Linked DNA regions of Arabidopsis thaliana. The protein of the gene in region 2 interacts with the protein of the main gene of each other region in a pairwise test. Each region holds a gene or a part of one and is shown on either strand. Other genes may lie near its edges. The genes, in order: AT2G25310, AT2G27290, ZF14 and AST91.

Region 1 (4,514 bases), 900 kb from region 2:
CAATCATTAGCTTTTTTTTCGTCTATTCACCACCTCACAATTTTGTGATTTGTTTCACTTGGGTTTAAATGGGGCTTAATCATAATGTTAAAACAAAATTGCCTAATAACATTGGAGTGGAATGTTACATATTAGTTATTTATTTGTTTATCATTTTGTTAGAATATTTTTCGGTTTTATTGAAAATAATATATAAGATATATTTTCTTATTATTAAAAACATATATTTTCAAAATATAATCTTCGATAAAATTGTAATAAATTTTTTTAAAAAGAAAAGGATTTTTTTTTTTTTTGTAAAAGTATGTAAATGGAATATATAGTTACCCTTAGTATACATAAAATTGTCAAAAATGGTTAACGCAATACTTCTGACCAAAAAAAGAAATTGATTCATTACATTGTATTTCTATTTTTATTTAGTAAATACATTGTATTCTTTTTCTCAGGAACATACAATTTTTGAAGGCAACTATCACATGCATGTACACAATCTTTTTTAAAAAGCAATATATATCGTTTAGCAAGAAGTTTTATAACCATAAATGTATATAAATACTATAAACAATGTAGCAGTACCGATCACAATATAAAATACAAGTTTTACAAACATTTAATAATGGGTGAGAGCATACAAAGAGTGTGTGCGTCTATCTTAACGGTGATGGTTGTGATGTTATCACTTCTTGAAGATACTAAAGGTAATAATGATTTTGCAATGGCTCCAATTTCAGAGAATGGGTTGCTACCAAATCCAATGGCTTGTGTGAAAGATGCAGGAAAAATTCCAGATTGTGTAGAGGCAATGAAACAAGGTTATTTAAAAGATATAACAAAAGAGTGTTGCTTTATTCTACTTAGTCTTCCCGAAGATTGTTTTGGGATTCTATTTCCTATGCGTTTATACTATCGTATCGTACTTAAGGTTACATGCAAATTATTAGGCATTTTTTAATCACAATTTTTTCAATCATTAGATATTTCTTTTCATGTAACGGTAATTTATTATTAAGATTTATAATAAAATCATCGTTCTTTTAGTGATTTATTAATTATTACCTAAATGATTATACTATAAGTAAGAAATAATATGTGTTGGCTATACTAACTAAAAATTGGACTAGTGATTGTGAGGCCCTTAGTGAGTAGATTAACGAGAAAATGATATTTTCATGCATATACAATTTACAAAGCGTGTTTTCCTACTTTTACAAACACATATGATCAATTCATACCCAAACTACACAAAATTCAAGTTATATATCATTCTAATTTATTAGTCAACCATTACGGTTGCTCAGTCTGCTAACATGTATCTCATGATGTTGCTTAAAACGACATCGTTTTGTTTGTTAGAGCTGAAATTTTATAAACTGTATTTGGTTGACTAACATTCATTAATTATGATTCTAAATTATGTTCTAAATGTGAGTTTGGGTATAAAATTCAAATATTTGTGTAATTTCGATATGAATTATCTTAAGTGTTTGTACATATAAAAAAAAAACACATTTTACAAATTATACATGTAAGAAAATACACTTTACAAATTACACAGGTATGAAAATTATACACTTAATATAGAACAACAACAATTTTGGGGTGAAAATGTAGACTGTCTAAGTGCAAATTGGATCGCATTTTAGCAAACGAAACTAAGTATATAGAATTGTAGATTCCGGTTTAGAGACGAAAAAAAAAAAATCCGGTTTAGAACATCGACCAAATAGGGTTAAGTTAACTGAACTTTTCAGGGTAAAAAAAGTAAAATAAAATAAAATTAAACCAGTACCTTCTCAGTTATCCAGAAGGTTTTGATTTGGTTTTCCTTAACATCCTTCGTCGCCGGAATTTGACGACTAATATCAGACTTCATCAGCTTACGTCGATCTACGTACGACGGCTATGACGATGACGTCGATCATCAGATCCAGTCCTACTCTCGCTTTCATCGTCTTACAGATTTGCTTCATCTTCTTTGCTTCCACTTTCCCTTGCTCTTCTGGGTAAGTAAATCGTTCTCTGTCTTTGATTTCTCTGCTAAATCATCTCAATTATCTAGTCGATGCAATTTCCTGCGAATTTCTTCTGTTGATAATTTGTCTCAATTTGATGATTTAGTTGCTTGCCGAGTTCAGTACTTTGATTTTTTGGAGATCCGAGAATTTATTTCTCTTTGTGTGGTTTATTGTGCAGGTCTGAGGATAGTTACACCATTACTGGTAGAGTCAAGATTCCACCAAGTAGGTTTTAACTTTTCCCTTCTTCTCTCTTTGGGATCTTCCCAAAGATTACTTTACCTTTACGGTTCCAACAATCAGTTCCTAATCTAAAAAGTGATGTGTAGTCTGTTTTGATGTTTTGAATGATGAAATTTGACTGCTTCATGTTTATTCTGAATGTTAAACTCTGTTGAACTGATCTACAAGTTATTTCGTAGGCAACGTGATTGGTCACATAGCAAAGTTCTCAAATGTCAAAGTTATACTCAATGGTGGACAGAAGATTACGTTTCTCAGGCCTGATGGATACTTTACTTTGTATCCTTTTGATCCTTCTGTTATTAAAGTTTCTTTTGAGTATATTATTACTCACAGTAGCTGATGATTGGTTTCTTACTTGCCTTTGATATATGCCAAAAGAAATCATGTTCAGTATTGGCTTGTTATAAATGTTGCTAGAAATAGATCAGGAGAACTAAATACCTTTATGGTTTCATGAAAAGAAGAGTAGTGGAGATGATTCTTACTTTTTGCGGTCCTTGACTAATTGGTTTGTAAAGTCATGAAGTGCCTGCTGGGACTCATTTGATTGAAGTATCAGCAATGGGTTACTTCTTTTCTCCGGTAAGTTTTTATGTGTTGCTATTAATGGTTTCCAAAACTGCAGTTTTGTAAGAATGTGTTGCTCATGCAATGATGGATAACCAAATTCTTAGGTACGAGTAGATGTTAGTGCTCGGCATCGTGGCAAGGTTCAAGCAACACTAACAGAAACCAGGAGGAGTCTTACTGAGCTGGTTTTGGAGCCATTGAAGGAAGAGCAATATTATGAGGTGAGACTTCACATGACTCTTTTCATTATTTGTTTTGCATGTGCTTCTACACATCTGTTTTTTTCTTTCTTTAATCTGATTTGGTCATGTAAAATACTACAGATTCGAGAGCCTTTCAACATTATGTCGATCGTGAAAAGTCCAATGGGTCTCATGGTGGGATTCATGGTCGTTGTTGTGTTCCTAATGCCCAAATTAATGGAAAACATAGGTACGCTTCTATTACCCTCGAAATGTAGGAGTTCACTATGAGCCAACAGATTCATCTTCCGTGTTTTACTTGTAAACAATTCGACTATGGATTTGATGGACATTTGATGTTCCTTATCACATTTCACCAATCTAGGAGCTTTTAGAGCTCTTGAACTGGTTGGTGGATTGCAAGTTAAGAAGAGTTAGTCATCGTTTGCTGATGAACACACCTAAAATGTTTTCGTAAACAGATCCAGAGGAGATGAAGCAAGCACAAGAGGAAATGAGGAGACAAGGCGTGCCTTCGCTCACAAGCTTGTTACCAGGCGCTGGGGCTAGCCGCTAAGAGTTCCTCGGTTAACTCAATGTATCACAAAAGGAATGAAGAGAGATTTCTCAGTGATCTGAGTGAGTTTGGTTGTTCATCTGCAAGTGATGATTTATTAAAGTTCTCCTTTTGAGTATCTGATATGTATAGTCAACTTGTTTCTAAAACCAGAAATGGTCATCTTATTGTTTGTCCTCGACGTCAACTTGTGCTTATGATATGTAACATTATTTTATTTTTTTATTTTGGCTTTGAAATATTAAACTTGGGAACAAGGAGAGCTCGTTTGGTATCTTTCTAATCGGGTGTAACATCATGTTTCATCTATATAGAAAAAGTTTTATACATTCTCACTTTTAACATTTTGATACTATTATAAATATTTTGGATGATTTCATTTTTTCATCATAACTCTTCATTCGTTTTACTTATAACTATTTTGCATCCTTCTATTTATTAATTGGAGGATTGTGTCTCTTAATCATTACTTTTTGTATTGTATTCGCATAATCTTTCATTACAAATGGGTTGCATTACTTGAGTTTTGTCCATTTATCATAATTCTTCATGATACATATAATAACAATAGAACCTCTTATTTTATAAAAAATCATGTCTTGTACATTTTTTCACCTCTATGCAAATTTTAATATCAGTTGCTCGTGGATAAATCCTCATAGGTAGATGTGTCGAACGGCCGGCCCGCTTTAATCTGGATCGGCCTGCAATAGGCATCTGTTTTTGTAAGATTGCAACGGGCTGGCCCGCTAAGATTACGATTGACGAATTTAATGCATTTATTGTATTCTTAAATATGTAAAAATGTTTGAGGAATAGACAATTTAATACATTCTTTCTTATAAAAATAAAAATCCGAATAAATGTGTTTTGCAGTTCTGAACATTTGTGTCTTGTTATCGCAACTTTACATTAATTTTT
Region 2 (4,045 bases):
GAACTCTGTTGCTGTGATTGCTGAGGTCGAGATTTACAAGTTCGAGCCGTGGGACTTGCCAGGTTTTACTTCGGTTTTCTTTCTCTTTATGTTTACTTTGGTTCACTAATTTGAATGTTTGTGCCTATAAAACAGAGGAATCGAAACTGAAATCGGAGAACGAGTGGTTTTACTTCTGCGCGAGGGGGAGGAAGTACCCGCACGGGTCACAAAGCCGGCGAGCCACACAGCTAGGATATTGGAAAGCGACCGGTAAAGAGCGGAGTGTTAAATCCGGGAACCAAGTTGTTGGAACCAAGAGAACGCTTGTATTTCATATCGGTCGGGCTCCTCGTGGCGAGAGAACGGAGTGGATTATGCATGAATACTGCATCCATGGAGCCCCACAGGTTCTTAAAACTTTCATTTTGAATAGGTTGAGTTTTAATGTTTTGAGATATATTGAAATTTGGATTTCACAGGATGCATTAGTGGTGTGCCGGTTAAGAAAAAATGCTGATTTTCGGGCTAGTTCGACCCAAAAAATGGAGGATGGTGTTGTGCAAGACGATGGCTACGTTGGCCAAAGAGGTGGTTTGGAGAAGGAGGACAAATCCTACTATGAATCTGAGCATCAGATACCAAATGGTGACATCGCAGAATCATCAAATGTTGTTGAGGTCAGCTTGCTTTTGAGGAATGTGTCTTTTAACGATGTTTAATACTGGTAAAATTATCCGCTCCAATCTTAATCGAAACCACATTAAATTCAATATAGTTCCGAAAACAGAACCGATTAAGAAACTAAAACCAAACCAACACCATAGTACCATACTATAACGGATTCATAGTACATTAGATTTCACTAAAGTTGTTATTTTACTAAAGCAGATTCTAAACTTAAAACGTAACAAACCAATATATCCAATGTTTGGTTTTTATTTTGGCTACTAATATTATAACTCAATAGACTAAACCAACACTTGGGCTGAACATCCTTAGTTTTCTTGTACTGGTAGAGTTTAGAGTTTGTAACTGAAGTTGATCTCTTTCTATTGCGATGCAGGATCAGGCCGATACCGATGATGATTGTTACGCCGAGATTCTGAACGATGATATAATAAAGCTCGACGAAGAAGCGTTGAAAGCTAGCCAAGCGTTTCGACCAACTAATCCAACTCATCAAGAAACAATATCAAGCGAGTCATCGAGTAAGAGGTCAAAATGTGGTATAAAAAAAGAATCAACGGAAACAATGAATTGTTACGCTTTGTTCAGGATCAAGAACGTTGCCGGAACCGACTCCAGCTGGAGATTCCCGAACCCGTTCAAAATCAAGAAAGATGATAGCCAGAGATTGATGAAGAATGTTCTGGCCACTACTGTTTTCTTGGCTATCTTATTTTCTTTCTTTTGGACTGTATTAATAGCTAGGAACTAAAGCTAGTTACGACATACATATTATTTATACATAAATAAATATAGTATTTGGTCTATGGCAATATGGCATGTTGAGCTAGTCTTAACAATTATTCAAACTTGTGTACAAACCAAAATTTTTATGGAAAAGAGAATATTTTCGGATAGTAAACCTTTATAATCTGGGTGAAAGCTTTGGGAAAGAGATGATAGTTCCGTGAAAATAGAGACAACAAATTTCACATATAGTAAATGTGAATAATACCACCATTTCCTTAAGTTTTGCTGTTTGTTGTATTAGAGATTGCAAAGTGATATTCTTAGTTATATACAATTGTAATAAATTATACAAAATCCATAAGTAAAATAAATTATTTTAGACTATGTTTAGATATACAAAAGTTTCAGTTCAAAATATAAACGCCTGAGAATCAAACAAATGTTGTTTGTAGTTTTTTATATTTATAAAATAGTCTAAAAATATTTTTCTTACTTATGGATTTTTTATACTATATTAAAGTTTTATATATGTAAAAGATTACTCTGGAACCTCTAATACAACAAATGGTATACCTTCAGAAAAAAATAAAAAATAATTGTGTGTCATACAATAAATAAAAATAATAAGGTGAAAAGATTTGCTTTCTGTTTTTTTTGGTGGCTGAAAAAAACAATGGCGATGATGCTTCTGCAAATTCCTCCTTCGTCTTCCTTGTTGAACACCAGAAACCTTCAAATCCGATTCTTCCACTCTTCAGTTTCAGCTTCCTCGAAGAAATTCAGATGCAGAGCCGTCCGTGAGAAGGCGGAGGACATTGATAAGAACATTTCGCCGCCGTCTTCTTCTCCTCCTCCTCCTTCCGCCGAAGAAGTTACCAAGAAATATGGCCTTGAAGTTGGTCTATGGAAGGTAAAATCAATTCGATTGCGCAATTTCTCGTTTTAATTCGTAATCTAAAATTGATGATTCTATCGCTATGGAAGCTTTAAGTGTAAGTAAAATAGTGTTTTTGGATGAACATGTGAGGACATATGATTGTTTCTGAGCTGAATGATAGGCTAATTCAGAGCAATTTTGGTATTAGTAGAAGCTATTGAAGCTTTAAGTGTAACTAAAATGGTGTTTTGTATGATTATGTGAGCAATTTTGTAGTTGTTGAAGCTATGGAAGCTTCTAAGGGTACTAAAATGGTGTTTAGATGATTATGTGAGTAGATATGATCGTTTTCGTGGTAGTTGTAGAAGTTATGTAAGCTTTTAACTATGCTAAAATGGTGTTTTTTTTTATCAACAAGTGAGCATATGTGATTGGTTAGTTTGGAGCATTTTTGGAAGTTGTAGAATCTATGGAAGTTTTTGTGTAGTAAAATGGTGTTTTGGATGGACTTGTGATTAGATATTAAGCTCTAAGGATGATGAAGGAAGTGATGGAGACAATAAGAAGAAGAAATCAAAAACAGATGAGGCTAAAGAGTTACTTGCAAAGTATGGTGGTGCTTATCTCGCTACATCTATTACTCTTTCTCTCATTTCCTTCTCACTCTGCTATGTCCTTGTGACTTCCGGTGTTGATGTTCAAGCTCTTCTTCTAAAGGTTACTACTTTCACTTCTTGATCATACTAAGTTTATGTTTTCTTGATCTTGGGTTGAGTAAAGCTGATTTTGATGTTTTGTGTTTAAGGTTGGGATTTCGACGAATGAGACAGGAGAGAAAGTAGGAGCCTTTGCTTTGGCTTACGCAGCGCATAAAGCTGCATCTCCGATAAGGTTTCCGCCTACAGTGGCTTTGACTCCTATTGTAGCCAATTGGATTGGGAAGAAAGTGGACAAGGAGAAGGATGATGACAAGTAGCTTACTTTGGAGGTATTATAATGTAGATGTTCTATATATTACTTGATAATCAACATACATAATCCTGTACAATCCTCACTTCTCTACCTTGTATGTACAAAAAAGATTGAAGCATATCTGAATATGATGATGAGTTAGAAAGATACAGAACCAAAGAGTGGCAGAATCCAAGTTGTGATATAGTTTTAGACTTGTCTATTTAATATGTGGTTGGTTGGAAATTACGACTTCACGATTCACTAACCTCTAGACATTTGGTAAGTGGGAGAAGTAGTTGTCAAATGGTTGGGAATGATCTCTGTGATCCAGAGCATATGACCTCGATCGTTTTGGTGATGCATTTTAACTTGTACTCTAGAACCTCATTATCTCGGCCCATCAAAATATGAAAACATTGGGCCGTAACAATTGGGCCGTAATCATCTATACCATCTATAGTTAATTGGATCTTTTTATCTCCTCCCTTCCTCTTTCACTTTCTTCCATGGATTACTAAATTCCTTAATCCTGGGAAAATCACACCAATCAACTTTTGTGAATTGTAACCCTAATCGATTCTACAGCGAAATCTACCTATTTCATGCTTGGGTTTGATTAGTGTTTTTCCAGAATCTGGGACTTCGCAGGAATTGCGCTAATTTTCAATCGATTTTGCAGAAGTTTGTTGCTCCTGGAATAGAAATCGAAGATGAAGAAGTACGGATTGCAAATCAGAGCTCCTTCCCAGAAAAAACAATCATCATCTCGACCTCCACTTCGACCCGCTTCAATATTTGATGAAGAAGAAGATCACG
Region 3 (4,773 bases), on a different chromosome or scaffold from region 2:
CAATAGAAATGCTGATCTACCGATAACGGTTTTGATCCTTTTCACGCCAAATTTTATAGAAAATGATCATATGCCAAAAACATATACAACAAATGAAATTGCATGTTGTGGTAAAATATTGATACAACGTTTTAATTAATTGTAATCATTTGATAGAAAACAAGCTATTTTAACATTAATAAGTTATATATAATAAATAAGTTACTATTAATATTTTACATTTACTTTTATAAAGATTTATTTATTTTAAATAGTTTTTAGGTTTCATGGTATGGTGGCAATGAACATGCTTTCAAGCCATTTTCTGCATAATAGTGTTTAACATTACATTACATTACATATATTCATTAAACCTAAATGTTAAAATTATATATGCTAAAGTTGCAATAGACATGCAATTTGAAATTGGAAGAAAATGCTAAATTAAATCTCATGCCATTTTACAGCATAATTTGATATTTTAGACATAGGAAAAACTTAAATTTTATCTTGATTGACTAGGAAAACTTAAATTAACCGTTAGTGCAAAAAAAGAAAGGATTATCTTCACAGAAAGTATATAGACTAATCTAGTGCAGTTTCCTGTTTGACATCATTACACCTAACCTTAAAATTTTCGGAGTTATAAAATAGGACCGACCTCTGTTTCTAAATGTTTCAGCGGAATTAAAGAAAAACAAAATGGCATAAAATTTGTAATTGTGTCACAAATCACAAATGATATAAAATTTCATTTTTTATCAAAAAAAAAGAAAAAAAAAGAAAAAAGAAGGAAAAAAAAAAAGAGAGAGGCAAAATTGGCATATTAATAGGACCGACCTTAGTTGGTTTTGTTTGTTTTTAATATTTGCTATGGAGTATGTGTTTTAGCAAAAACAAATCATAAATGTATATACATTGTTAAGTGTATAAAAATTGTAAATCCGTAAAATTTGAGTCAAATAGCATACAATATCTATAAATGCCATAAAAATGTAAAATTCATTTAATTATAAATCTAAATCCTAACTACTATTATATAAATCCAAACCGATATATAATCTCGTTTAATTAGAAAATTTAAAACCTTTATTATCTTTTATAAACCTAAATCAATATTTAAACTTGTTTAATTGTAAAATTTAAATCTGTTTATAAACTCAAACCGATATTCAATCTCATCAATCATAAAATTGAAATCTTAACTTTTTCTTATAACTGATATATAATTTTTTTATGGCAAATTATATTTTCTAATTAAATTAATTTAATATTATTTATTAGGTGGTAGATTTTGATTGGCTAGAATAAAAAAGTTCACCCAAGTATTTTTCAAAACAAGTACTAACCCCATCAACTTATGTGACCAACCGTTATTGAATAAATGCTTTTTATCCTCTCAGCCTAAGAGGTAACAACAGCCTGATATTCTAGCACTTAGGACGACTGTGAATTCGCCAGCCGACATAACCGAAAGAGTTCAATATATAGTGAAGCCCAAAGTTGAGTTAAAGATTAGGAAAGAGATTTGCTATTATTAAAGGTAATGCGATGTATTTTAAAATAGTTAACTAAACCAATTTTTATGTCTTTCTTCAAAAGTGAACTCTTGAGCTATCCTAAACCTGTGTGTCGTTCTTCTCACAGACTTATTTGGTGGACACACGATTTGTTTAGTCAAAGCAAACAAAAAAAGTCCCACTTCCCTATTAGAAAATCAATTCTTTGTTAAAAAGAAATTAAAACTAATTTTCGCCACGTGTAGAAACGATATCGCTTCTTTACAACTATAAATAGTCAGCCTTTCTCCTCCAAAAGGCCCAACCAATTCCATATTAAAAATATTAGTTCCTCTCGGTTCCTTTTATCATTTGCATAAAATCGTTTTGCCTCCAAAAGACTAAAAGCTCTAGACTTTGTCTCTTTGTCCTTTTATCTCTACTCCCAACAAAACCAGTTTACTCCTCTTAAGAATCATGTGTAATTCAAAACCATCTTCTGCTTCATCTTCCTTATTATCTTGTAAAGACAAAACCCATATCTCAAAACTCGAAACCTGTGATACAGATAATCCTCATTATTCTGAATTCAGGGATACTGATTCTCTAGACCTTAAAAGATGGCCAAGTTTTCTGGAGGTAAATTATTTCTTTTTTTTTCCTATACGTAAATGTTTGTTTTTTTCTACATAGATATGAACATAATAATTCAAGAATCTAGTTCTTGACAAAACTAGATTGTACGAACTATACCAAAAGCATATATACATATACATATATATAAATAGAAACAACAGTTTCGCAATCCTTTTTATATATATACCTAAATCTTTGGTCCCGGTTGGTGATTTGGTTTTGTCATTTTTTTATAAAGGTTTAAGATAAGCTTTATTTGATTAATATAATTAACCATTAACCAGGGAAAAGAAAAAAACGATCTACTGACGTGGACGGTTCTTGGTCTTGACTTTTCTTTTCTTAATTATCTGGCGGCAGGGCTTAGAGGAAGTGAAGGCGATCGGAAAAATCTCTGGGCCGACGGCGATGACCGGGCTTCTTATGTACTCAAGAGCGATGATATCGATGCTGTTCTTAGGCTACCTCGGTGAGCTTGAGTTAGCCGGAGGATCTCTCTCCATAGGCTTTGCCAATATCACCGGCTACTCCGTCATCTCCGGTTTGTCCATGGGGATGGAACCAATCTGTGGCCAAGCATACGGAGCTAAACAAATGAAGCTTTTAGGACTAACCCTTCAAAGAACCGTCCTCCTACTCCTCTCCTGCTCGGTCCCTATCTCCTTCTCGTGGCTCAACATGCGCCGAATCCTCTTATGGTGCGGCCAAGATGAAGAGATCTCCTCTGTTGCTCAACAGTTCCTTCTATTCGCCATCCCTGACCTCTTCCTTCTCTCTCTGCTTCACCCTCTTCGAATTTACCTCCGAACACAAAACATTACATTGCCCGTGACTTACTCCACGGCCGTGTCCGTTCTCCTCCACGTTCCTTTGAACTACCTCCTAGTGGTGAAACTTGAGATGGGAGTAGCGGGAGTCGCTATAGCTATGGTTTTGACAAATCTCAACCTTGTAGTCCTCTTATCCTCTTTTGTGTATTTCACTAGCGTGCATAGTGATACATGGGTCCCAATTACTATTGACTCTCTTAAAGGTTGGTCGGCTTTGCTCTCACTTGCCATACCCACTTGTGTATCTGTTTGTTTGGAGTGGTGGTGGTACGAGTTTATGATCATTTTGTGTGGACTTTTGGCTAACCCAAGAGCCACCGTGGCTTCCATGGGAATCTTGATCCAAACGACGGCTTTGGTCTACGTCTTCCCATCCTCTCTCAGCCTTGGTGTCTCTACAAGAATTAGCAACGAGCTTGGGGCTAAACGTCCGGCGAAAGCTCGGGTATCCATGATCATCTCACTCTTCTGCGCGATCGCCTTAGGCCTAATGGCGATGGTGTTTGCTGTGCTGGTTAGGCACCATTGGGGACGCTTGTTTACCACGGATGCAGAGATTCTTCAGCTGACTTCCATCGCATTACCCATTGTGGGGTTATGTGAGCTCGGAAACTGTCCTCAAACAACCGGTTGTGGGGTTTTAAGAGGCTGTGCAAGACCTACACTTGGTGCCAACATAAACTTGGGTTCATTTTACTTTGTGGGCATGCCAGTCGCTATTCTGTTTGGGTTTGTTTTCAAACAAGGGTTTCCAGGTCTCTGGTTCGGGTTGCTTGCAGCTCAAGCAACTTGTGCTTCTCTCATGTTGTGTGCACTTTTGAGAACAGATTGGAAAGTCCAAGCCGAGAGAGCTGAAGAGCTGACGTCACAAACTCCCGGAAAGTCTCCGCCCCTTCTCCCCATCGCAAGCTCAAAGAGCCGGTCTACCTCCGGTACAGAAGATATGATGAGAACCATGTTGGTTTAGATTGATAGCTATTCTCTGGAGGCATTTGCCATCAACATTGACGTACATATATGTTCTTGTCATCATTTTTTGGAGTTTATAGTGCTCCTTAATTTCTACTTTTTGATTTAAGAACGACTTTGTTTTGTGGGCTTTAGTGGTGTTTGTGTTATTTATGGTTGTATTGGTGTGATAGTTCTAATTAGCTTTGACTTCAGCAGTTTGTATTTTATGTGTTCCCTTTTGTAATAACTCGTGGTTTGATTATCTTTATATATTTGTCCATTTTCTAGGAGAATGTGAATTTTTTTTGTTAAACTAAGAATAAATTTATTTTATTTTATTTTTGTCACAAAAACTAAGTATAAATCAAAATGAAAAATTTAACCTCAATACAACTTTAATATATATATATATATATATATATATAAAAAGATTCCAAGATACTAGACGTGTCTAGGCCATTGAAATCTAGAGAAAGACCATACTAGTAGATCAAACCTAATGGCCGAAGACAATCAGAATAACTAAGGATACAGTAAAAATGTTCCATAATAGGTTAATTTTTTTGCAATTTATTTTGTATTCGTATTTGTGTTGTGAAAGCTTTGCTTATTTAACAATCAATTCTTTTCTTAAGGACAGGCAAGATGAATGTTTTATTTTTGAGCTTTTGGTGGTTCCATGTTCCATAAAAGGAAATTATATTCGTAGCCAAAAATGGAAAACAATTTCCTTTAATTCTATCATATTCTTTGTCTCAAAGCCATTGAGATTCGATACGTTTTAAAATTTAATTGAGATCACATTTATTTTGATTTTGGTTGTTTCCTTTGAGCAGAGAGAAAGCATCTTTTCTTTTATGTATACTTTTTTTTGTCCT
Region 4 (6,460 bases), on a different chromosome or scaffold from region 2:
GTTGTTGTTGTCGGGAAAGTATTAGTGTAAAAGAATACCTTATGCCATATGGAAGACTGGAAGTCACAATGTTATCAAGATCTTTCCGCGACCGTATCAAGAATTGTTTTTTCCTAGAAGTCACAATGTTATCATAGCTTTGAATGAATTCGATTAACTTCAGAAATATTTTATCATTTCACAAAAGTAGTAACATCTTATTAAAAATATCTATTAGTTTATGTTATCAGTTCATTTCATCTTTTAATCTAGCTAAATTTTCAATTCGATTTGATTTATAGACCAGTTTTATTTTGAGATAAATTTCTTGCTTATAACGTTTACACAATTATAATCGCAGACACATAGCTGATTTGAAGTCTTCTTGAAAGCAATTGCTTCTTCGATTCATCCGCGTCGGTTTATCCCTCTTGACAATTACACATTGACTTTTGATATATAATGTAAGCTCTAACTTGGCAAAGTTCTTAACACAATTCTGCTCATGGTTTGGTCATATTTTCTAATATTATAAAACATAATTATCTTAAATAAAAATATTATTTTTATTTTTTTATTTAATCAGTTTATTTCATAAATAATTTGGATATACATCCGTTTGATCTAGCTAAGATATCAATTCGATTCTAGATCAATTTTATTCTCGGAGACTAAACATGGCCTAGTAAACTACAAAATGGCGAAATCATACAAACATATCTTGACCAAAATCATCACTGAAGAAAGAGAGAGAAGAACGTAATATTACATCTGTACTGAAATTAAAAGATGAAAAAGAGACAAAAAGAAAAATTTAACCATCGGTTAAATATCAATATTGGACCGATACAAAAAATTATAGTTAAACGTTACTGAGAGATGGCCCTTTAAGAGAGAGCGACGCAACGGCCTCAGCGACGGTTAAGAAGAGAAACTCGGGCCTCATGAACTCTTTTTGTTCGTCAGCTCTTTGAAGCTTCTCCACCACTTCGCTTAGAGGGTTCACAAACACAAGCTTCACACATAAAATAAATATCCAGTTTAGATCAAAATCTAATTAGTTTCCTTGGATAAGTGACAAAATCGGATTGTGAAAACAACTATTTTTACCTCGATGTCCTTCTTGGCGGTTGTTTTCTTAAGTTCCTTAAAAAAGGACACTCCGTTTGTGTCTACACCGCTCACGGCTTTAACATATATAAAAGCAAAGTTAGCTAGTTGAAATATATTGGTTTTCTTGAGTTTTATGGTTTTGCATTAGAAAATTAAAACTAATTAGCAATGAGTGAATTTGCCTTTAAGTCTAATCACATTTCCTATACGGGTTTCTAATAGATTCTATCAAGACTAACCTGACATTTCAAGAATCAAGAACTGTAGGCTAGAATGCTTCTCTTGAGCTTCCTCTTCTTCGCATTCTTCAATCCAACGAGATGTTCTACAAAAAATTTATGCAACACAAAAGCAGAGAATGTTAGTAAATGAAACATAGCTATTAAGAAATGTGGTGTTGACAAAAAAAATGTATTAAGAAATGTGGTTACAATCTAATAAACATCAGGGTTCATAAACATTTAAGAGATCAAAGTCTAATGTATCCGAACTTCCAAAATCTATATAGAAAGGATCGTAGTTTCATAGCTAACCTTTCAGTGAGGTAGTTAGAATTGGCGAAATTGACAGGAGATTCGATGCTTAAAACAAGAAATCCCGGGATCCTTTGTGCTTCTTTGTAATGATGAAGATCTCGGTATATATCCGTTCCAGGAATATTACCCATTATAACCATTTTCGGCCTTGTTACTTGCATCAATATCTTGAACAACGATAGCCCCACCGCAATGGCTAGACCGTTTTGAACGGATAGGAAAATGACACCAAAGAACGCGCAAAGCATCACCAAGAAATCAAATTTATCGATCTTCCATATGTGACAGGCCGCGGGAAGGTCGATGAGACCAATGACCGCGGTCACAATGATGGCACCGAGGACCACATTGGGAGTGTATTCGAAAAGCGGCATTAGGAAGAGAAGCGTAACCATAACAGTGACCGACATAACAATGTTTGAAACTGCGGTTTTAGCTCCCGCGTTGTTGTTGACCGCTGATCTAGAGAATGCTCCGGTTGTGACGTAGCAAGATGTGGCAGAGCCTACTACGTTCATCAGACCAATGGCGATCATCTCTTTGTTTCCATCTACGTGGTAGTTCTTTAGCGCTGCAAATGTTCTTCCCACTGCGATTCCTTCCTGTTCAAGTAATAGCTAGTTAGGTGTGAGGATTATTTCAATCTCTACTTTCTTTTTTTTCTTTTTTTGCATAGACAATAAAAAGGTTTTTTATGGAAAAATAAAAGCTGATTTGTATTACGAAAATGTGATAAATTTATTTCTCACGTAAAAGTTGCGTTTGAAAAGAATAAAAAAAAACTATACCGTGAGGGAGACGATTCCGGTGACGAGTCCGGTTTTGGCGACGAGTGCGAGATGACTACCGTGAAACTGAAGCATGTTCCAAGACGGTGGATTCAAACCTTCTGGTAATTTCCCGATCTATCAACAAATTAATCCTAGATTTCAAAAATTCTGCAAAACAAAGAAACAAAAACAGAGAATTGGTTTAGGTAAGAGGAAACTTACGACGCTGATTCCGTGACGCTCGGCTCTGAAAACAAAGACAAGAAGTGTAGAGACGATAACGGAAAGAAGTGGTGCTCCGGCTGAGACCCAAAACAGCTTCGGCTTCTTCATGCTCTGCGTTAAATTTCCATTCTTATTATTACTTAAGAGGAAACCAGATCAAAGTATGTAATAGCTATTTAAGTCATTAAATTAATTATATATTTAACTTTTTGATGAAATAACAATTTGTTTTTCTACTCCAAAACAATTAGTTCGTTATTTATGGCGGGAAGAACGTATAGAGAGAAACAATGACGGTCCATCGTAACAAATGTTGTACATGCATATTGAGGGAGAATGAAAATGATAAATGAATAGTGAGAGGTAAGCAACATACGAGGTGACGTGTCGAGAGCAAGAAGAGCAAGAAGCAAACTCCCATCACAATTGTTTGCCATGACCACTGTATAATAGTAACATTGTAAATAAAATTGACTAAAATACAGGAATTAGGAAAAAGAAGAAGAAGAGAAATTAAACCTCGTTGGTGTGTTGGAAAACAGAGGAGAGAACAGGGACTACACTCATATGCTTTGTGAAATGAGTTATCCCAAGCAGACCCTTTAGCTGTTGGAGTGATACAATTATGGCTGCTCCACCCATAAACCCTATTAGCGTCGCTTTTGATAGAAAGTCTATTATAAATCCCAGCCTACATATTAAAAAATAAATACAGTTAACACAATGTCTCTTTTTCTTAAACAACATCTTCTCCATTGCCACTTGGTGGTGCAATTACTCTTTTTTGTTTGATCATGAATTATTTTATATTTGTGTTAGAATACACATTAATATTTCTTAGAACATTTTATGAAAATATTTATTTTTCACTAGTGATAGAATAATAATATATGATTGATTAATGATTATTTATCACTTTTTCTAAAAAGCTTATTATATTTTGGACTAGGGTCAATAATGATAATTGTCTAGTAAATATGTACTACCCAAACATTAAACCTGAAAACAATCTTAACTTTGTTTTCTAATCTTGAAAAGCAATTAATATAAGCACCGACGACATTTAACATTTAGTAATACTAGCGTGTACATGTAACCCTACAGACTGCCACTAGCCTAGCACAGGCCCAATATTGACCTCACATAACACACTATATTTCAACAGATATAAATCATGGTTCATGCAAAGCTACAAAAAACTTTTTAGGTAAATATATAAATTTATAACCTGAGGATTCCAAGAGAGGCTTGAAAGAGACCAGCAAAGAAGGTAGAAGAGAAGGCTAGCTGTAGAAAGAGAACAGGATCGTCTACGGGAGATACTTGTTGCCTTAGCATGGATCCTAAGATTAACGACGCTATGGAGACTGGTCCCACTGCTAGATCTCTTGAGCTTCCCAAGACCGCATAAACCAACGGTGGCACGAAGCTCGAGTCTACACATACATCAACACACGTGTTTATGTAACGGTCTATAATGTTTCATGTATATTCTATTCAATTTTACTTTCAGATTCTTACATAGACCAACGATTGGTGGCAAATTTGCTAGCTTCGCGTAACTAATCCCCTGTTTTTATGAAAACCAAGAAGACGAAGATTATAATCAAGAATTGCATAAAATGGTGGTCGTTATTGATCGGAACGTGAAAATGGGTCGTCGTCGGATTTTTGATACGTACGTACCTGAGGAATAGCTAAACTAGCGATGGTAAGACCTGAAACGACGTCGGATTTGAGTAGGCTGAAGCTGTACTCAGGACACCATTGGAGGATTGGAAAAATGTATTGAGCGGCGCGTATGAGCTTGGTACGGTTTGGTTGTCCTCTGAACTGTCTTAAGGGATCGTCCGGGAAGAAAGTCTCCTTCAGTTTTGTCTTTAGCTTTGCCACCGTGCTCTTATGCGGCGGAGCAACCACCTTGTGCACCTCCATTAATTGGTTTTCCTAAGAATTTTTGTCACCAATGTGTGATGTTTCCTCTCTTGGCTCTTTGCTGATAATTTAAACATGAGTATTATTTCGGGTCGGTCTTTACATTTTATAATGGTCTTATCTTGGCCTATCTTTTATTTTTGATATGAAAAAAAAAAAAATTCGGAAAGTTACACGTATACTGTTGTCTCTGTATTTTTTTTTTGTTTTGTAATTTGAGCCGATAATCCGTTGTGAATTTCTCTTTTTTTTTTTTGTTGGCGTTTGTCTATTATTTACCCTATGAATATTGATTCGTGTAAAAAAAAAAAACTGATTCGTGTCTATGCTCCAAATCTTTCACATTTTCTATGTTCGATTAAAGATGAAATACATAAGAAAAACATAATATTTTAATTAAAACATTCGCGCGCCACCTTGAGAACTTGTAATAATGCATATATAGCTATGACGTATTTAAGTGGTTGTAAAGACAAAAAACAAAAACAGAGTTTTATAATTATGATCACTGGTATGGTAGATGCATAGTTTTGTGAAGCGACTGACAAATAGAACATTTTAGTTGAATGATTTTATTTTTGTAGAAAATAATATAACAACAACTAATTAGTATCTTTTTTATTAAGTACGATAAGTACTAATTATAACACTATATATATATTTGTAACCATAATTTTTTTAACATTCTTAGTTTCCAAAATTTTAAAATGCAAGAACCTCAGTACAACGTTTTCTCCGTATTTAGTTGATGTTAATGTTATAGTAGGAAAAAATGTTCTAAATTAGATGATGTTTTTAATTTTTAATGCAATATTAATTAGTTTTTTTTTATTGGTTTTGATGATTTATAATATACAGATAATTTTTTCTATTGGTTAATTAGATAAATTGATGTTTAAAAAAATAAAATTAAAAATGATTCAATCGGTGTACAAAAACTTTAAACACCAAGTAAAAAGACACGAAGATAGTACTATAATACTATGAATAATAAATAAATGGGTGAATCTATATATACATTTTTGCAGCCATTTTGTGAAATAAATCCTGGAGTTGGAACTTATTTACAAAGGCTGCCACTGACTTTTAATTATTAGTTTTTTAGCAATAAATTGATTAACAAACGAAAAACATTCTAAATATATTCCAATCCCATATATCACGCAGATTTTTCCAAAATTTAAACTAAATTTCGGCAACTAATTAAAACAAAAAATGTTTGACAACCCAAAAGACAATTGCAATCCCTTAAAATGAGCAAAACGCAACTAAATACATTTTTTATCAATTCACTAAATCTTATTTCTTCAAAATTTGAACTAGATTTCGACAACTATTTAAAACAAAATTTTGTTTGACAAACTAAAACACAATTGCAATCCCGTAAAATATTTATTTTAATTATAAATTTAAATTAGCGGGGTACCGCGAGCTTTTTTTACAGGACGGGTTTGGCGGAACGGGTTTGGAAGGACGTTACTTAATAACAATTGTAAACTATAAAATAAAAATAATTTATAAATAGATATAATTTGCAAAATTTTTATATATATTAACTTAAAAAAATAAATTATCTCCGCGGTGTACCGCGGATTAAAATCTAGTTACATATTAAAAACATAACAACTAAGAAAATTTGAGTATCAATAATGCATAACTATCTGTTCATGTACCCGTTGAGATCGCTAACAAACAGAGAGACGATCAGACGACCAACTAGCTAGTCTACAGTAGGAGTTGTTAGTTGTTACATTGACCCGGACAAAAAATGTTGATGATTTTAGACTTATCGTCTTTGGCTAAAGATATTAATACATATCTATATAACATATTTATATATATGGATATAATGTCTGATCTTGCATCAACAATTATCCAAGATAATTGATTAACACTAAAATT

Evidence for each region.
Region 1: the proteins of AT2G27290 (region 2) and AT2G25310 interact in a protein complementation assay, tested with the Arabidopsis thaliana proteins (one large-scale study listed by BioGRID).
Region 3: the proteins of AT2G27290 (region 2) and ZF14 interact in a protein complementation assay, tested with the Arabidopsis thaliana proteins (one large-scale study listed by BioGRID).
Region 4: the proteins of AT2G27290 (region 2) and AST91 interact in a protein complementation assay, tested with the Arabidopsis thaliana proteins (one large-scale study listed by BioGRID).

What each region holds. Positions count from the first base shown.
Region 1 is NC_003071.7:10,776,515-10,781,028, reverse strand, and holds AT2G25310 (ER membrane protein complex subunit-like protein (DUF2012)), read left to right. Parts: upstream 1-1,764; 5' UTR 1,765-1,905; coding exon 1,906-2,006; intron 2,007-2,196; coding exon 2,197-2,243; intron 2,244-2,440; coding exon 2,441-2,540; intron 2,541-2,782; coding exon 2,783-2,846; intron 2,847-2,938; coding exon 2,939-3,055; intron 3,056-3,157; coding exon 3,158-3,266; intron 3,267-3,498; coding exon 3,499-3,593; 3' UTR 3,594-3,961; downstream 3,962-4,514. Other genes in the region: AT2G25312 (ECA1 gametogenesis related family protein), read left to right, coding at 620-955.
Region 2 is NC_003071.7:11,677,792-11,681,836, reverse strand, and holds AT2G27290 (FAM210B-like protein, putative (DUF1279)), read left to right. Parts: upstream 1-1,917; 5' UTR 1,918-2,071; coding exon 2,072-2,308; intron 2,309-2,794; coding exon 2,795-2,992; intron 2,993-3,080; coding exon 3,081-3,251; 3' UTR 3,252-3,532; downstream 3,533-4,045. Other genes in the region: NTL8 (NTM1-like 8), read left to right, coding at 1-62, 136-389, 462-659, 1,046-1,420; AT2G27285 (nuclear speckle splicing regulatory-like protein (DUF2040)), read left to right, coding at 3,940-4,045.
Region 3 is NC_003070.9:21,651,207-21,655,979, forward strand, and holds ZF14 (MATE efflux family protein), read left to right. Parts: upstream 1-1,781; 5' UTR 1,782-1,955; coding exon 1,956-2,117; intron 2,118-2,474; coding exon 2,475-3,911; 3' UTR 3,912-4,233; downstream 4,234-4,773.
Region 4 is NC_003070.9:8,184,397-8,190,856, forward strand, and holds AST91 (sulfate transporter 91), read right to left. Parts: upstream 4,839-6,460; 5' UTR 4,559-4,838; coding exon 4,310-4,558; exon of another isoform or gene 4,194-4,309; coding exon 4,145-4,193; exon of another isoform or gene 4,060-4,144; coding exon 3,852-4,059; intron 3,315-3,851; coding exon 3,143-3,314; intron 3,066-3,142; coding exon 3,000-3,065; intron 2,735-2,999; coding exon 2,621-2,734; intron 2,534-2,620; coding exon 2,417-2,533; intron 2,231-2,416; coding exon 1,626-2,230; intron 1,418-1,625; coding exon 1,332-1,417; intron 1,167-1,331; coding exon 1,090-1,166; intron 995-1,089; coding exon 842-994; 3' UTR 529-841; downstream 1-528. UniProt on the Arabidopsis thaliana protein: H(+)/sulfate cotransporter that may play a role in the regulation of sulfate assimilation.